Linked DNA regions of Diceros bicornis minor. The main gene of each other region encodes a partner of the protein of the gene in region 2 in a complex. Links are inferred from orthologs where the notes say so. Each region holds a gene or a part of one and is shown on either strand. Other genes may lie near its edges. The genes, in order: CLEC1B and PDPN.

Region 1 (9,143 bases), on a different chromosome or scaffold from region 2:
GCTCCATGAGGTTAGAGATTTTTTATGTTTTATTAACTGCATAGGTTCAGGTCCTGGAATAGTTCCAGCACATATTTGTTGAATTAATGGATGAGTCGATCTATGGGTAACAAAATTAAAAGGAGATCAAATGTTTTATATTTCCATACCTCACAGAAAAACAGACGGGTTAGAATGCATTCTTGGCAAATAAAAAATGACTCGAGCTTCTTGACAGACACGTAAGACACAGAATGGCATTCCATAAGAGATATTGTGTGAAAGTCACTTTTCAGTGCTTATTTCTTAAAGCTTGAGCCACCCATCAATTCCATTAATTCTTGTTCTTTTCTTTGAAATACATCCTCATTATATACTTCACTATAGGAAGTATATTCTGTCTGAAATTCTGCCTGAAATTCCACTATTCTTTGTTTCTCAAAAATTATATTACTTTCTCTTTTACTTATAAATCTCCAATCTGGCATCAGCTTAGAGTAATAAGTGTCAAAACATGTAAATGTGTCTCCAATTAATCTCTTTGCAGGAGCTGAGATTTCAGAGTACTCTGTTATTTTGCCTGATTGGAAAGAACTATTAATTTATTTATCTGAATTTCTTCTCTATGAGTCTGAGCCCACAAAACGAGAAAGTAGATGGTACAGCAAGTTAGAATAACACAGCACACAAATGCTCACAAATGTCACTGGACTCATGTCCTCATTTCTGGTCCAGTACTGTGCACTTCAGCTCTCAGGAAAGTATGTCAATTTTGCTGATCAACTATAACAATTTTGTAGAATATGACCAGCTTGAATATTTTTCTCTTGAATCTCTGTCTGCACATAGCCCAAATCCTGACTTCTTTTCCAACTTACATTTGCTTTCTTTTTTAATACACAAAAATATGGATAATAACTATATAAGAAATTGTAGGATAAATACTATAAAGAATTTTTGCCTTTTTAAAAAATGTGTTTTGATAAACCTGTTATTGGGTAGAAGGGAGAAGGTAGAAGGCTTGGTTTCTGACTTGCTCCCAGGACTCATGAAGAAGAGAAAAGCTACATTAAATAATAAGAAGAGAGTATATGAATGGATGTGGACGTATTTTGCTTGAAAATAGAGACTTTATTAGGAGCTATCAGAGCGGGAAATGTGGAAGAGGAGACATGTTTAATGGAAAATTTTCAACTGAAATCTTGTGTGTTGCGCAAATGAGATTGCTTCCAAACATAATTTTGGAAATTATGCAAAAAGAGGAGGATTAGCATGGATGTTGTTAGCTCAGGGCTGATCTTCCTCACAAAAAAAAAAAAAAAGGCATGTAATATTGAGATAACATTGTTATTTATATTTTACAACCATATTAAGTTTCTTTATACCTTCAGACTCTTTTATGAATTAGTAAATAGAGTTAAGGAAGTTGAGAAAGGTTAAATTACTTGTTGCAGAGATAAGACCAGAACTCAAAATCCCATAGTTCTATTTCACCTCTTGCTACTCTCAAATGTTGTAATTTTTACTGAGCTTGATAAGCTTCTCATATTAGCACAAATTGGGAGATGTGAAAAAAATATATATTGTTTTAGTGAAATATTTCACTTGAGATTTTTCTCCTTCTGACTCCAAAATATTTGACATAGACATCTCCTTACCAGAATGTTCTGGTTGGTGATCTTCACAAGAGTAGCATTCATGCCAGTACAGTACTGCTTACTCTCTTCCCATGTCAAGTTGTGCCTGAAGAATCCATAGCAACCTTCTCCATAATATCTCCAGTTTATGTCACATGGGCTGCACTTATGGCCTTAAGGAGAAACCAAGCATAGGAACCCTTTCATTCTAAATTGGGCTTAATTTTTCCCCATGTTTACTGCAGATCTCAAGATTTCCTACAGATAGCATCACAGAAATACTCCAGGGGTAGAGAAGATGAAGAGGTTACCAAACTATACGTACCCAAATTGTGCCCTTTTTCCAATGATTTTAATAAATATTGGCAGAACCGCTTTGCTAATTGCTGCAGAGTTCCTGAGAGATTTTTATTCTCAGCTCGTAGGTAGTTTTGCTGCTTGACAGCTAGGTGTAAAAATTACATAATAATTTGTAATCAGGGTAATAAGGGTGATGTAAAGACCTTTCAATGAACTTTAATTTCAGTAGAATTATCAATCTATGAAGTGTTTACTAGATGCACATGAGTAAATGAGTGCTGAAAAGGGCTAGGGTAAAGGGGAGTATAAAGAACAAATTAAGAACTATGTAAAATTGGCACCAGAGGGTTATCCAAAAGAACAAGCGAACTATTTGAAGGAGTCAATCACAAATGAGAAAATGCCATGATCAAATTGCATGCCCAAAGCAGTTATTTCAACTTTCCTTGAATGCAGGTTTCTAAACAGATTCACAGAGATGAATTTTGCTATTTTGTTTTTTATGTAATACCAAAAGATCCTTTCATTTAACACATACATATTGATTTCCTTTTATGCTCAAATACTGTGATACTCAGGTAAATAAAAGATGATGAATGACGAATTCTAAAATATCTTGTGAAAAAATAAACAATATATAAACAAGCAACAACTAAACATGATAATGTGACATTAGAGGGCTTTTAGATTTACAAGGAGAAAAATATTTATAAATTAGGTGTGATATAAATTGTCTCCTCATGGAAGTAAATAAATTCATTAAACAAAATGAGAAGGAGGACATTTTCAGAAGAAGGAATAAAATGAGCAAAATTTCAGGCAAGGAGATGTAGGATTTATTTGTGAAACAGAAAAATCCGGATTGGCTGGATCTTAAGATATGCAGGACAGGGAGAAAAAAAAATTATAAAAGTGTGAATCCATACTTAGGAGGATCTTAAAGCCCAGTTTAAAATTCTTGAAAATAGTTTTTAATTAATAAAAAAAATCTAAAAGATGATTTTTATTAGAAGGAAAGGTAAGAATTCTCCTTTATTGAGAATATCTTGAGCTACATATAGGATGATTGGAGTAGTGACAAGTAGGCAAATAGTGACAAATAAGATTAGTGGGATACACCGGGACTCTTAGGTATTGCCTTCCTCAGATCAAATCTTTGGCAATGAGTCAATACTTACATGTAATCCCCAGAGTCACCAGCCCAACGACCATCCCCATGCACAAGATCAGCAGAATCAAAGCCATCACACGCCACAAAGATGGGGTAGCAAGGTCAACTGTGGGCATACAATAAAGACGTCAGAGGGCTGGCAGTATGGCATAGCTTTGGGGCAGTGTCATCCCTGTTCCTGCTCTCTCAGGATTTTCCAAGCAATATAAACATATTCGTTGGCATATCTTGCCTGTGTTCCCTTGGTGGTCGTCAATAGTAAGCATAAACCACTCCCATTCCACACATGGGGATGGCCCCATCCCCAACGGACTTCTTCTTTCTGACTTAAAATACAACTAACTGTTAAAGTTTTATGTGTTTACTTTGTTTTGTGCCCACTCTCGTAAATAATTGCTTCTATAATCAATGACCGGAGGATCACGCCCATGTGCTGACATCTTAGAAAATGGGATTGCAAAACATTCTCTCCCCTTACCCGCTTGGTTTCTATTCCCTCCAGCATTGAACTCTATAAGCCTTAAGGTAGTGTACCCTGCTTGTATCTTTTGTTGTTTGTATTCTAAATAAATCTATCTGAGCCTATGTAGATACTACTCATGTAGTTACTACTATATCATGTAGATACCACTACAAATGCTGTAGAGAAAGAAAGTCATTTAGGAAAATAAAACTAAATGTGCTATCATTAGTAGAAAAAGGAAACTAGGTTGACCTATTTCGATAATTAATTTCCAATTTCTGGCTCTAAGCATTCTTACCTGAGGTGCGAGCTGGTTTTCGAGTTTTAATATTTAAGATGACGTATCCATCTTCATCCTGCATGGCTTTCCTTGGACTACAAGTGAGTTCAGAGTTCAATTACTTTGCAAAATGTGGTGTCCACTCTTATGATTTCAATGTCTGTCAGTCTGTGATGCTCCTCTCATTGGTAAGGCAGAGCCATATGAGTTGGAGCAAGTGTATTTTTTTTTTTCTTTCCAGGAAGCTGTTTCACAGCTGCTCGAAGATACATGGTCCTTGAACATACAAACACAAAAATAATAACTTGTGGTAAAGGAGTAGATATGGCATTTGTTTCCTGTTTCCTTATCTTCAACTCTGAATTAAGCAGTATTCCATCATGTGTATCCTTTCAAAGAACAAAAAAGTTCCTGCTTCATCTTAACCTTAGCAGAGCCTAAATCATATTGTTTAAATAAACTAATTTCTCATGAAAATTCATGGATAAAATACTAGTAGATATATGTATTGTCTATCTCACTGTGAGGAGCAAGTCTAATATAATGTGATCTAATGTGGACTAGATTAGATGTTTCATGGTCTTGGGTTAGAAGGGACCGTTCCTAATTACGACTTAGAATTCATCCAAATTCTTGCATCTCTTGCCAATCAAATTTTTCAAAAATTCAAGGACTTCAAATGAGGCAGCCTTCATATTGCTTAGGTTTAGGCATAGAAGGAAAACAATCAAAGTGAAATAACACAATTAGTGACTTGATGTATTGTGCTCAAGTGATGTTTGCACTTCAAAACGAATTTCCAGGAATGGAAAAATCTTAATTCAATGAACTCACGTAATTCCAAGTATAGTGGTATTTAGATGAAGAACTATTTGAGGAAAGGATGATATCTTAGTGCCCTTTGCATCACAATATAATAAGTATTTCACACATTTAACTTTATGAAATGGGCTTTTAAATTGTTATTTTAGCTTACATTGCAGGTAGTTATAAGAACAGCCGTAGAAAGGTCCTGCTGTATTTGTTGTAGGAATATTGGTGAGAGTGTTGTCTATTTTATCATTAGGGTTTCTCTTATATAGTTTTGTAGCAGATGTTTTTGTTAAACTTTACGGCCAGAAAAGCTTCCCTTCTTCTAAGTAACCAAGGAGGCATTTATCTTATAAATGATCTAATTTCTATTTTTCCTTTAGTTAGTAGAATGTTAGACTATATTGAAAATTTTATTTTTCAATGTAGTAATTACATAAGATCTTGTGACAAGTATTTTGTTTACTAACTTTCCCTTTGGCATCTCTTGTACATATTTTTTTTCCTCGCTGTTATCTCCTTCACTTTGAATTCTTTGTCAACTCACTTAAACTAATCTTTTATTTTAAAATTTCTTTCACTGCACACCTCAAATTATTTTGAGAATGAGGTAAAGTATAAACAAAACAAGCATGAAAGGCATTGCCTGATTTTTAAAACCCACACTTAGCAGGACTTAAATAATTTTACCAAAAACAGATATTTAATCAAAAATCCCACTCCCTTGAAATAAATGTCAAATTTAATAATGTGCTAAAAATCAAATAATCCAATTTCTTAAATCTCCAAACCACTTTTTGTCACTGAGTTTCTTATCTCTGTTAAAATATTCAGTGCTTCCCAATCACAAGCCAGGCAAATTCAGATCATTTCCCTACCATTCATCTACCACTGCTTCTATTCAAGTAACTTCTTCAGCCAAAACGACTCTTCACCCTTCCTGACAGTGCATGACAGCCCCAACCTTCCAGCACAGCCTGAGGGTTAGTTTGACTCTCTCTCTCTTCCTTTGCTCACGTTTACTCGCATACCAAGCCCAAGGTTTTTCTTTCACCTTAACTCCTATCTTCTGTGTCCTTTCTGTCACTGCCTTACTTTAGTGCTTTTTTTGTAAAATATACTGAAACACTGAAAAATAATTGTGACTAAGTGACAGAGAGAAAAGAGTGTGGAGGGTGCAGTTCAAAGGACATTTTTTTTAAAGAAAGCTTTATTCTGTTCTCTTAGTAACAAAATAAGTAACTTCTGAAAATTTATAGTGAAGTTAAATCAAATACCTAAATGCAAGATCCATGGACATTCGGAAGACTTATAATTATTGTAAACATTTTCTTGTTCAATTAACAGAAACTTTAATAAGGTCTGAAATATAACAAGTAGCTTGCTTTGTTCAGATTTCCACATCTCTAGGTCTTGGGCAATTGGTTAAATTATAAACGTATCCCATTTATTCTTCTTGCAAACCACCAGGAATATGCCAGGCTTACTTCTTGATTCATTAATTCTTAAAACTGTACATTTAACTCCAGAAGTAGGTAAACTTGAAATGGGTAACACTAAGCCTCAGATGATTTTCCTTTCCTATATCTCAGCCTCTGGATTTTCCTTTGGTTCTTTCTCCTTGGTGTTTGTAATACATCATTGGTTTTTGGATCGTTGATTATTCTAGCCACAGGCTGAGAGTCTTATATCAAGAACTATGTTCCATAAAAATATATTGGCCATTATTTTTATCCCCCAAACATGACCTTGCAGTGTGAGAAATATACTGGATGAGAACAGACTCTCAGGTCAAAGAAGCCCCTGATAATATTAGTCTTAACTCGACTTTCTCCCTCTACGTAATCTGTAAATACAAGCTGAGTTACTCAGCAAAAATTATGCAGAGAACTGCAGGAAAAAGAGATAAATATTACAAACTTTTCTTTTTCCTTTTCCAAAATCCAGAGGCTTTGCTAGATAACTCTTAATCACCCTACAAGGCCTATCATTGACATTTTATTTCTGCTTGCATATTTTATTACTCTCTTTTTTCTTGGCCTAGGAAAGAAGAGTTGAAAAAGTCCTTTATTCCAAATATCCAGATGAGTTTGAACTTGGAATAAAAATCTTTATTTCTTTAGTATTTTAGAGATTAAGAGGCACTTTTACATAAATTTTCTCTTTTAAAGCAAATATTTTATTAATTGAATATGTTTCAAGCACTGAAATTGGTGGTGAATATTCATGGAGCAAGTTAGTCATGGTACTAGTCCTTATGGAACACAGAGGCTTAGATTTTAGCTATCCTTTATTTTTTAGTATTTAGAACAACTTCTCCCACCCACCACACACCAGCCCACACTCTTGTCCCTCTTTCTTGCTTCATTTTTTTCCATTGCACTTATCACTATCTGACACACAGAGGCTTCTTAAATATACACATTTTTGTCATGTATCCCCACAAGAATGTACTCCACGGTTCTAAAATAGTGACTGACATACTGTTACCATCCAATAGATATTTGGTAAATGAAGGAATATAGGTACAATGGGAATTTTGATCCTAATATTACACATGTAGAAAGAGAAGTTTAAGGAATTTGGGGACTTTTCTATGATCATACTTATAAAAAGCAGCACCATCTACTTAGTTTTCCAAGTTCTTTCCACTACATAAAGGCGTCTTTCAAATTTAGGTATTGGCCGGATTCTATTATCTGTGTTTATAGCTGAAGAATGAGTAAAATATACTAGGATCACAATGACAAGGTATAGATGCAAAAACAAAGGAACTTAGTGGAATCCATAGCATCGTGGATAAGACTGATCAATATATAATGATGGCTAGTGGATGTGTAAAAGAGAAAGACGAAAAGAGAATGATGTTGATACTGTGAGTGTTATAACAATGTCTCTAAACTGAAAAAATATAAGGGAGGTGAATATTTTGCAGCTGGTCATAACTTTGTACAGACTTCTTAATGTACATCACCTTTAAGCTAACCCTTAGGTGCATTTATAGGTGATAGCTTGTTCCCTCCCTCAGTCCTGCGCATTAAAATTTTTGGTTCACCTTTGAGTTACTAGCCTTCTACATACGTATTAAATATTGTTTATCTTTGGAAAAGACTAGGATTTCCTGTCATGAAAAAAAGGATAATTAATATTTTTCTTAAATTTTCAGAAAGCTTAAACATGTGGATTGAAAAGCAGAATGCATTTTATTAAAAGTTAATGAACCAAACAATGAATAATTATCAGATAACAACTGTGGCCGAGCATTTTGTTACACATAGTAGAGAAAATGAAGGAAAAAAATGTGTTAGACTGCATCCATAACACTGAGAAGTTTATCATGCACATGCTTACAAAATATCTGTAAATAAAAAAGTTAAATAATAATCAAATGAGGGGCCGGCCCGTGGCATAGCGGTTAAGTGCGGGCGCTCCACTGCTGGTGGCCCTGGTTCGGATCCCAGGCGCACACCAAAGCACCGCTTGTCAGGCCATGCTGTGGCAGCATCCCATATAAGGTGGAGGAAGATGGGCACGGATGTTAGCCCAGGGCCAGTCTTTCTCAGCAAAAAGAAGAGGATTGGCATGGATGTGAGCTCAGGGCTGATCTTCCTCACACACGCCCATACACACAAATAATAACAATAATAATAATCAAATAGAATATGTAAGACTTGAGTTAAGATTTGAAGGAAAGGCAAAGATTGCATAAAGAGAGAGAGGAAAGGGGAATGTTTTCAGGCAGGGCAAATATCTGAACAACGCTCTGAAAGTTTGAATGAGTATGATGTGACCAAGAAAAGTGAATTGATCAAGTGTATTTGAACTGATGATTCATGTCACAGTATACTGGGACATAAAGTGTCCTAATAAAATCACTATAAAACTTACATTGCAAGGACAATTAATCAGTTATCTGAACATATTTTTGTTGATCACTGTGTATGTCCCAGGCACTATTCTATTTCCTGGGGATTAAGTTGTGAACAGAACTTACATAAGTTGTGCTCTTATTGAGGTTATATTCTAGTGGAGGATGGTGAGCAAAGAAGCCAAGAAAGAAAAGAGCAGGATAATTTCAGATGATGATAAGCACTATGAAAAAAATCGTATAATAGAACTTTACTGGTGAGGCTTGGGGCTGGCCCTTGTTGTGCCCATTTGAATTGGTTTGTTTAACCTTCACTAGAAGTACTTGGGCAACTGCATAGGTTTCTTCCATTTTTAAGATCATCCAGAATAATTTAAGCTTATTTCTGATATAATAATAGTGATAGCTATCATTTGTTATTGTTTCTATGTGCTTGTATTAATTACTTTTGTGGTAGGTATTACACCAATTTTATTAACAGAAAAAATAAAGCACAGAGGTTAAGTGACTTGCCAAAGTCACTGGACAAGTAAATGTTGATTTGGGATTTGAAGCAATCAGTCTATCTTCATAGCCCTTTATTTTAATCAGGGTATTTTATTATCCTCATGGGATGAATATACATTTCAAAATAA
Region 2 (8,846 bases):
GGCCAGATATGAGTGTGTGGGGGTCCTCGATGGTGAGGATCTTCTAGCAGGCAGGATAAAATCACAAGCTTTCCTTTCACAGGTGTTTATGGAGCATGTGCCAGAGGCAGGGGCTACAAAGATGAAAGTGTCAGTAAGCTCCCGGCTTCAAGGAGCTCACGATAGCCTCAAAGGAGGCGGGGAGACACCAGAGCTTGGAACTCATTGGGCGCAATCCTTTAATGACAGCAGGATGGGGTGAGGTGGCCCTAATACTGGGAGGGGGGTCCAGCCAGGCAGGGGGACGGGGCAGGGGTCTTCAAACCACACACAGAGTTCCCCAGGGGAACGTGCCAGCAATGGATCAATTTCTCAAATCCTCAATGTTTGTCAGTTTTCCTCTAAAACTGCCTGGAGAATGCAACACCTTCACAATAACCCTCCTCCCATTTACAAAAGAAAGCCAGCTCCTTATCCACCCCAAATCTTATTATGGAGCATTTTTCTGGGGTGTAAAAACCTCTGTAGCCCCCAGGTGCCAAGGTGAAACACTGTCTTTCCCTGTTTTGCATACACACTGTTAAGGGTGGAGTTGGGGTGCTCCGAATTCAGGATCAGAACGCCTTGACCAAGGGACCAAAGTTCACACTTGCGTGCCCTGGGAACTGACATCCTGACCTCCTCAGGGGACGCACCGAGAAAACACAACATCACTTCTGGGGTCGTCCAGCCACAAACGCATACCTCAATCTAATCACGAGGAGAGCGGAGACGAAACCAAACTGAAGGACATTCTACAAAATAAATAGAGCCTGTGGTCTTCAAAAAGCAAGTTCAAGAAAGACAAAGAAAGGCTGCAGCAGAGTTCCAGTATCTTCCGGAGATGTGACAGCCCAGTGCAATGTGTGGTCCGGGATTAGATCCCGGAAAAAAAATCCTAAAGGACATTACTGGGACAGTTGTCAAAATTTGAATACGGACTGTGGATTGGACAATAGTATTGTTTTAATATTAAATTTTGTGATTTTGCTAATTCTACTGTGGTTACAAAAGAGAATGTCTTTGTTCTTAGGAAATTCACATCCAGTGTTTAAGGATAGAGGGCAGATATTTCCATGACTCTCGAGCGATTCATTACAAAGCCAGTGTGCACATGTACATCAATACAGAGTAAGTGATGAGGCAAATGGAATAAAACCACAAATTGGTGAATCTGGGCGAAGGGTGGACGGGAGTTCCTGGGTTATTCTTCCCGCTTTTCCGTAAATTTGAAATTATGTCACAAGAAGTTGCAAATAAATACACAAGGAACTCTGGGCATATGATAACTTTTCTACATTGCTGTTTTCCACATTTTCCTTAAGGAATGCATATTTTTATAATGAAAAATTAATAAATGCACATCATTTTTTAAAAGAATATGGTAGTGATGCTGACTCTTAAGTATAACTGGAAAGTTTTCCAGATCTATCAAAAAATATCCAGATGTGTGGATTTAAATTCAGAGATAAAAATTTTACACAATTTTTTTCATGCTTATTCAGGTGGCATTATCAAATGGTGTCATGAAATATATTTTCCAATTATGGTCAGTCTTCATGTTATTTCTTTTTAAGAAGTCTTTAATATGTTCTACCTCCCACTGAACATATATTTATTTAACTCTATGATGAAAAATAACTGGTACTTAGTTTTTCAAAATTCTTTTAGGGGGTCCGCAAGCAAAATCGTGTGCATCCCACTGGAATAAGGCGTGTGATGGTTTGACTCTGACAATAGGAGGGGGGAGTCAGCATTGGGGAGACCCCTGGGAGAACAATGGGGTGCTCTGGCAAATAGAGGCAGCCCAGTGGGTCAGAAATCAAAGCCAGCTCCCTATGCTTGGAACGGCAGCAGCCAGCCCCCAGGTCCCCGTGCAGAACACAAGTTCCTGGGTGGAACCAGGAGATAATCTGGTTTCCCTGGGGGGACTTGGGCCCAGAGAGCAGAACAGGGATGGGCGGGGGGCGCCTCTCAGGAATAAGGCCAAGGTGAGGGCTGCACTAGCAGAGAGGATGAGTTGATGCTGAGTCCCTGTGTGCTGGTCCAGCTGGGTTTCCTGAGATTGAAAGGAACCAGTACTGTTGGGCCCATGTCAAGAACCTCCGCCCTAGAGGCTGGGGCTGGCCGTGTTCAGGTGGGCACAGGGGGGCACCAGAGGACTAAAGAGGCTGAGAACCAGGCAGGGCCTGGCGGAAACAGCCATCATGGTAGTCATAGCAGTTAGACTTCTTTGTGTGCATAGAACTCTCCAAAGTAGGAATAACACGCCCATTTTAAAGAAGCACAGGCTGAGGCTCGTGTTGCCAGAGACCACCATGGAGCTGAATTTGGATTCCTAAACACTTAGGCTCTTTCCAGCAAACCAAGCTGCTGTAGGTTCCTTCTGTCCCCACCCACCATCCCCATCCCCAGCCTCATTCCATTCCTGCTGAATACCTTTTGGGCCCAGCTCGTACCCCTAAATGCACGATTTATTACTGAGTCATGGAGGTGCCCTTGATATCAGCGGTCCATCAGGCGGTATCTCAGCTCTGGAGCAGTGCACATTGAGCAGCAGGAGAAGACGCTGAGAAGTCTTCCCGGGCAGCCTGGGGAAGCATGGCCTGTGGCTCTCAGCCTGTGCAGAGGCCTCAGAGAACGCAGGGAGCCTGAGAGATCCTAACATCCCCCCTCCAGCATTCCTCGGGGTGGCGGGTCCCAGGCAGGGTGCTCTGTCTCCGCTCCTTTTGCTTCTGCACCCTCAGGAGGCCTCCTGCTCCCTAAAAGTGACTTACAGACCTCTTTCCAGATCCTTACCAAGAAGCACTACAGCAGGCTCAAGCCTTGTCACAGAGGGACGGTGGCTCCACGTCTCAGCCTGGACGACCCTGTATGATCCGCGTGGTCTCTAAATCAGTGGTCCCCAAAGTGGGGCCCCAGGACCAGCAGCAGCACCCCCTGGAAACTTGTTAGAAATGCAAAAATCTCCCCTGACCTGCTGAGTCAGAAACTCTGGAGGAACCACCCAGCCCTCCAGGCGAATCTGATGTACTCAGCTTTGGAAACCACACATTTCCTTGCACGTAAAATGGGTATTATCTGTTCTTAACCCAAGTATGGTTTTGGGGATTAAATAAAATAGCGCAGGGTAAATGTCCCTGTTATCTTACCAGTCACCGCTTTAGGAGCACAAGCTGTTTCACAAGAATGGAGGAATCTTCTGGCATGTTCCCTACTTGTTTTCTTCTTCCCCTCATCTAGGCCGCTTGACTGCTGCTTCTCTATCCCACCCCTGAGTCACTCAGGTCACCGCTGCTCCAACCCCTGTGCCCAAGGCCGGAGTCCCCTCTCTCTCCACTGCTGTTTACATTGTTGAGGAAAGTCCCCCCAGTAGGCTCAGCCACTCTCTGCAGTTACCCAACCCAGCAGCCTCTGGACCCTGTCCATAGACAGCCCCCCATCACCTCCCCTCCTCCATCCTGTACCCGAAGGTCAAGTGACCAACCTTGCAGATTCTAGACACATGCCTGGGGCGGTTGGGGAGGAGGGTGGGTAGAGGGGCCTCCCCTTCATTAATAACCTAGCCCCAAGTACTCTCTATATTAGCTGCATTTACCCCATTCTCCCACCTAGGCTTCATTTTGTCTCCGCTTGCAACTGAAGGTGGTCTATCTTTTTCTTTTTCATTTTTGACTTTGGAGTGGATTCGCATCTCTTCTCCACCAGCAGGCTTGACAGACTATATGTGCACCATTCAGTCTGTCGACAAACATTACTGATAGTACAGTAACGTTTAGAAGGTGGGAAGTCAGTTCAGATGATCTTCTCTTTAGTTTTCTCTTTACATTTCCAACCCCTCGACTCACAGGGCCCCTTCCTCCCCCTACTTTGGGTGTCAGCTCCTCTCTTGAACCCCAGGACAAGGCAGCACCTGGGAGATCTTTAGACATTCAGAATCTCCCCACCCCAGACCCAGAGAAGCTGCCCTTGCATTTTAACACCTCCTCCCGGAAATTCACATGATTCACCCGCTCCAGGGTGCCACTGGCTTGAAATACGAACTCCCAAAGGGTCTGAGGAATGAGTTGGGGGTAGACCCCAGGAATCCGAGTTTTTCAAGCAATCTTCTCAGGTGATTCTTATGATAAAGTAAATTTGGAATCAGGGTCCAGGATAAGGGTCAGAAAACAACCAATTTTCACCCCAAGGTGGACCTTTGGGGCATTAGTCTTCAGTTTTTTTTTGCTGAATGGAATTTGTGGCATCCGGAGTGTGGCAGAGGCCACCTCCCCAACTCCTCTTCTTTTAAAAAATGTTTCTCTTTAAATTCCAGCAATTCAAAAGGAAATAAAGTAAAAAATATAAATTCTTTTCCTGTTCTTAACATCCAGTACCTGAGATCAGAACAAGATTGCTTAAATCAGTAAAGTGGGGATCTGGGGGCCAAACTCCAGGGTTAAAAGGGCTGAGCCCCAGCTGGAAGCGGACACGTGTTTGGTGGCCAGGTCGGTCCTCGGACATCCTCGGGCTGCAGCGCCTCACCGGCCGCCCGTGTCGGTCCGCGGGCCCCAGCATCACAGCGCTGCATCCAGTCGGGAGAGGCGGATCTCCAGCTCAGGCTTTTTTCCCAAACTGCCAAAGCCACCGAGTCCGCCAAGCTCCCGGCCGGCTCTCGGGCAGGCCCCTGGAGACCGCCCCCTCGGGTCCTCTGGACAAGGGCGCAATTTACCAGCGCGAGCCGCCCCTGCCCACCCAGATGAGGACGCTCGCTTTTTTTTCATTAAGCCATCAGATTCAATATTTACAAGAACAATCCCATGCTTAGTTCTAAAATTACCGGCCACACAAGGAATAGTTTACTTCTCACAACAAGAAAAACCTAGGCTTGTGCCTCACTCTTAAAAATCAGAATAATAAATAAAGTAAAATATTAAACAAAATAAATTGCTTATTGCATGCGCCCCCTTTCCCTCCTGCTGGAGAACGGAATAAAAGCCAATTTTGCGGCGCTCCGGGCCCTCCGCGCGCCCTGGCGGCCCCCGCAGCTGCAGCCCTGTAACTTTAAACCTGGCCTGAGGTCATCGTTTTCGCGCGGGCCAAACAGAGCGAGGGGGCGGTCCTAGTGAGCCCCGGACTGGGACCACCTTACAGCGGACCTCTCTCCGCCCTCCTCGGGAGAGATAAATGCTGACTCCCATCCAAAAGTTGCCAGCAAAGTTTGGTGCTCCGGCTGCTTGCGCGGGTGAAGGAAGCTTGGGAACCCATCACGCGCTGGGACTTGCGCTCCTTGCATCTCCACTCGCGCTCCGCCGGGCCTGTGGCTGCAGAGATTTTTAATCTTCCTCCAGTTCAGAAACCAGCTGCTCGGCCCCCGAAGAGAACGAGTCAACTAAGAAGATGTGGAAGGTGCCGGTTCTGCTCTTGGTTTTGGGAAGCGCGTGGCTCTGGGTCCTGGCAGAAGGAGGTAAGACTCAGCAGGAGTCTGCAGCTGCTGGTGGGGACTGGCGAGCTGGGGCTTGCTGGAACGCCTGGGCCTGGCATTTGAGGTTGCCGGGGAGAGCAGAGGGGAGCCGGGAGTGCGTGTGTGCGAGTCTGGAGGACCCGGGAGAAGGAGAGACAGAGGCTTAGCTGGTGCCAGGTCCCAAAGAAACAGCTGAGCGGAGTGCAAGGAGGAGCCCCCGAATCCACAGGCAGCAAGGGTGGGGAGCAGAGGGGCCTCCCTCCAGGGCAGCCCACCTCCTTCCACCCCCTGCTCGGGGCACGAGCGCTAGGGCGAAGGGGTAACAGCAAAGAGCCTTCCACTGGCAGGTCTGGGCTTTCCTGCAGGGCTGCGTTCTGGGGGAACGCCCAGGGCCTCAGAAGAAACTGGCCCCATGGAGTCGGGAGGGACATTCAGGAGTGCTGGGGTTGGGGGAGGTTTTCCTCTGTATAGTGATCGTCTCCCTCCCGGGGCTGCCAGATCTTACACCCTGTGCCCCGGCATGTTGGACACACTCAGGCCCCATCAGTGGGGACCAGCTAGCTGGAAGAGGCCTCGGTTATCCTCTGTAGAGAGGACGGTGTGTGCGGAGAGGACTGAGGTGGAGAGGGCTCGTGAGTGGCTGAAGGAACAGAGGATGACTGTGAACACTGAGGGTTAAGGTGGTTTGGGGCCGTGTGTTGAGCTTGGTCAACAGCATCAATAACTGAGTGATGGTGACTCCTTAGACTTTTAACTGTCTTAGATCTGATGCTGCGGGCCCTGCCTACCATCACCTACATCTTCCCTTATCCTTTCGCTCTTCTTCCTCTTCTTACCTCTTTCTGCCCAGTGTGCTGTGTTGGAGGCATCCATGCACGTGTGTGAATATTTTATTTCTTTTCCTGGGGGTTTATTTTGTATCTGTTTTTCCAATAGAATATAAGCTCCCAAGGACACAGCTATGTCATAGCCTTGATCCCCAGGGCCAAAACAATGTCAAGCACGTAGTAGTTGCTCACTAAATATTGATTGAAGGAATTATAAGCTCACTACTGATCCTTGGAGTTGGAGGTTGCTGAGCCAAGCTCTGAAAGGTGAACTTTTACATTCTCCAAATTGAGGATTGTAGTCCTGGTGCCAGAGGACTCCTTCTTGGAGGGAGTGGTGTGAGGGAGGAGTGGACCTGACCTAGGCTTCTATAATTCCCTGCAAAGACAAAAATACCCAGCCCTAGGGAAATAACACAGGGTGTAGTGCTCTGTGCCCGCTGTCTGCTTCGGAGAGACCCAGCAACTCTCTGCAGGGCCATGGGCTATTTGTGATGGTCCTATCTTTGGAACTTCTCGTTCCTCTAGAATATACACAGCTCTGCATTTCAGTTACATTTCCCTTTTGGCGAGACAGTGTGCAGATGACACCGTTTTGTGCTCACCAGGGCAAGGTGTGGGAGGCCCCCGAACTCAGGCGCATCCCAGCTCCGCTCAAGACAGACGGCAGCTGGGCGGCATCCCCTGTTTTCTCTCTGGGGAGGGTTGGCTGTAATTATCTTTAAGCCAGTTCCTGAATGTCAAAGGTACTCCTACAGGGTGGCAGTAAACTTTGTCTGAGAAAGCAGCCACCATTGGTACTAGAAACTAGACTGCTCAAGGCAGAGGCCCCTCCTCCCCTGGCTGTGTTGGGGGCCGGCTGTGTGTGGATGCTGTGTTGCTGGGCTGCTGGCAAGGAGCTGAGGCCCAAGAGGGGTTTTGTCTGAGGATAATGAGTGAGGCGACTTGAATATGGATGAATAACTTCATTGAACTGGCTATTGTTGGCTCTTGTTGGGGAGCTGGGCTGGGGGTAATTATGGTGATGATTTTTATTATCCTTCTCTTAGGTTCCTACTCCCCACTGTGCTTCCCTCATCTAGTGTTATAATCTGGCTCGGTTTTATAATCTGGTCCCGTGTGTTGTCTCTTTGGATGTGAGTGGATTCAGAGGAGCTCTGTTGTCCACACATCTGGCACTTTCCTCCACTGTGAGGCCCCACCCTCACTCTGATCTTGCATCCAAAATACGTACTTCAGGGCCTCTCCGTTAGAAAATCTATCTTGTGAAATTCTGCAGGCTGCTGCTTGCTGCAAACCCACGTGTGCTTTTCCGGGACCAATCTACCCAGGATTAATCATGCGGTGCACAAATTTCCCCCGAACTCTTGCCAGTTTCGGAGGCCCTGAAATCTTCATGAGTTGCTAAGTTTTGGTTGCCCTTAAGGCATCTATCAAGCATTTAGTAAAGATCAGGTCTGTTAGAGCCTTTGTGAGGGAGGCCTATCCATTACACTGGAGTACATGCACATTTTTAAAAAGTATCCAAGCATGAGAAGGCTAAGTCGGGACATGGCGAATAGGGAGGAACCTGGCTGAACGGAGGTACGCGGCTCTTCTCTTTCTCTGAAAGGAGTGGCCCATGAATGACTCTCTACCACAGAGTTATAAAGACCCCAAACCTTGGCGTGACAGTGGATAGGCTGGCCAAGTAGGAAGGGCACTGCTTCCCTCCCATTCCCATCCCCTGCCGCGTGTGAGGAACGTCCGTTACCTCATTTCATCATGACAACTCCTTAAATTATACACTATTATCTTCAGAATGTGCCAGAACTGGGATTCGAAAATGGGTCTAATTCCAAAGCCCAAGCTTTTTTCACTACATTACATTGCTGCAAAAAAAAAAAAAAGTTGAACTTGAAATTAAAGGTTAACCTCACTTTAAGTTCCTTAAACATGAAAACAAAATATTTTAAGGTACAAAAAGTCCTTTACATCAAATACCATGATACTCCTTTAAGAATAAAAATGTCACAGTACATTAAAAGAAGATTCATAAATTCGTTCCCCAAATATTAATTAAGCGTCTCCCAAGAGCTTGGGCTGGTGCTCAATGCAGGATTTGAACCATATGCATGTTTGAGGGGGCACACCTGACATTATAAAGCGTACTCAGGAGTCTTCACCAGCAAGGCAGCGGACTTGTGCTTTAAATTCCACTGGCTTATCTGAATATTTGTCATATTTCTGGCTTCTAAGAGCAGGCATGCCAGGTTACAACTTGTGGAAATATGACGGGGGAGGGCGTGGGGAGAGAGAAGACTCGAATACCTAGCAGTGTCCTGTGAAACTCATGGGAGGAATGTAAATATGCTCCTGCCAGGCTCTCCAAGGCAGCCTTGTCATTCCTGCCACCCCGAAACCTCTCAAGGAAATACCCAGTGTGAGCGTTTTGTTGGAAGAGAATCATATGATTGGGGTGAACAGGGGTGAGGTGGTACTTCTAAAGCCAAGTGAACAGTTACTGAGTCTTAGGATTTCCACAGGGGGTGGACAGGAGACAAAGAAACTCTTTTTTT

What was found.
Region 1: the proteins of PDPN (region 2) and CLEC1B are in contact, whole or in part, in a crystal structure (PDB 3WSR), measured with the Homo sapiens proteins. The link is inferred for Diceros bicornis minor from reciprocal best matches to the Homo sapiens genes PDPN and CLEC1B. Residues at the interface, in NP_006465.4 of Homo sapiens: Ala46, Glu47, Asp48, Asp49, Val50; in NP_001380271.1 of Homo sapiens: Arg107, Phe116, Arg118, Arg152, Thr153, His154, Leu155, Arg157.

The regions. Positions count from the first base shown.
Region 1 is NC_080756.1:52,104,999-52,114,141, forward strand, and holds the start of CLEC1B (C-type lectin domain family 1 member B), read right to left. Parts: upstream 3,990-9,143; 5' UTR 3,913-3,989; coding exon 3,849-3,912; intron 3,194-3,848; coding exon 3,095-3,193; intron 2,062-3,094; coding exon 1,942-2,061; intron 1,790-1,941; coding exon 1,638-1,789; intron 1-1,637. UniProt on the Homo sapiens protein: C-type lectin-like receptor that functions as a platelet receptor for the lymphatic endothelial marker, PDPN.
Region 2 is NC_080752.1:31,866,228-31,875,073, forward strand, and holds the start of PDPN (podoplanin), read left to right. Parts: upstream 1-5,192; 5' UTR 5,193-5,397; coding exon 5,398-5,464; intron 5,465-8,846. UniProt on the Homo sapiens protein: Mediates effects on cell migration and adhesion through its different partners.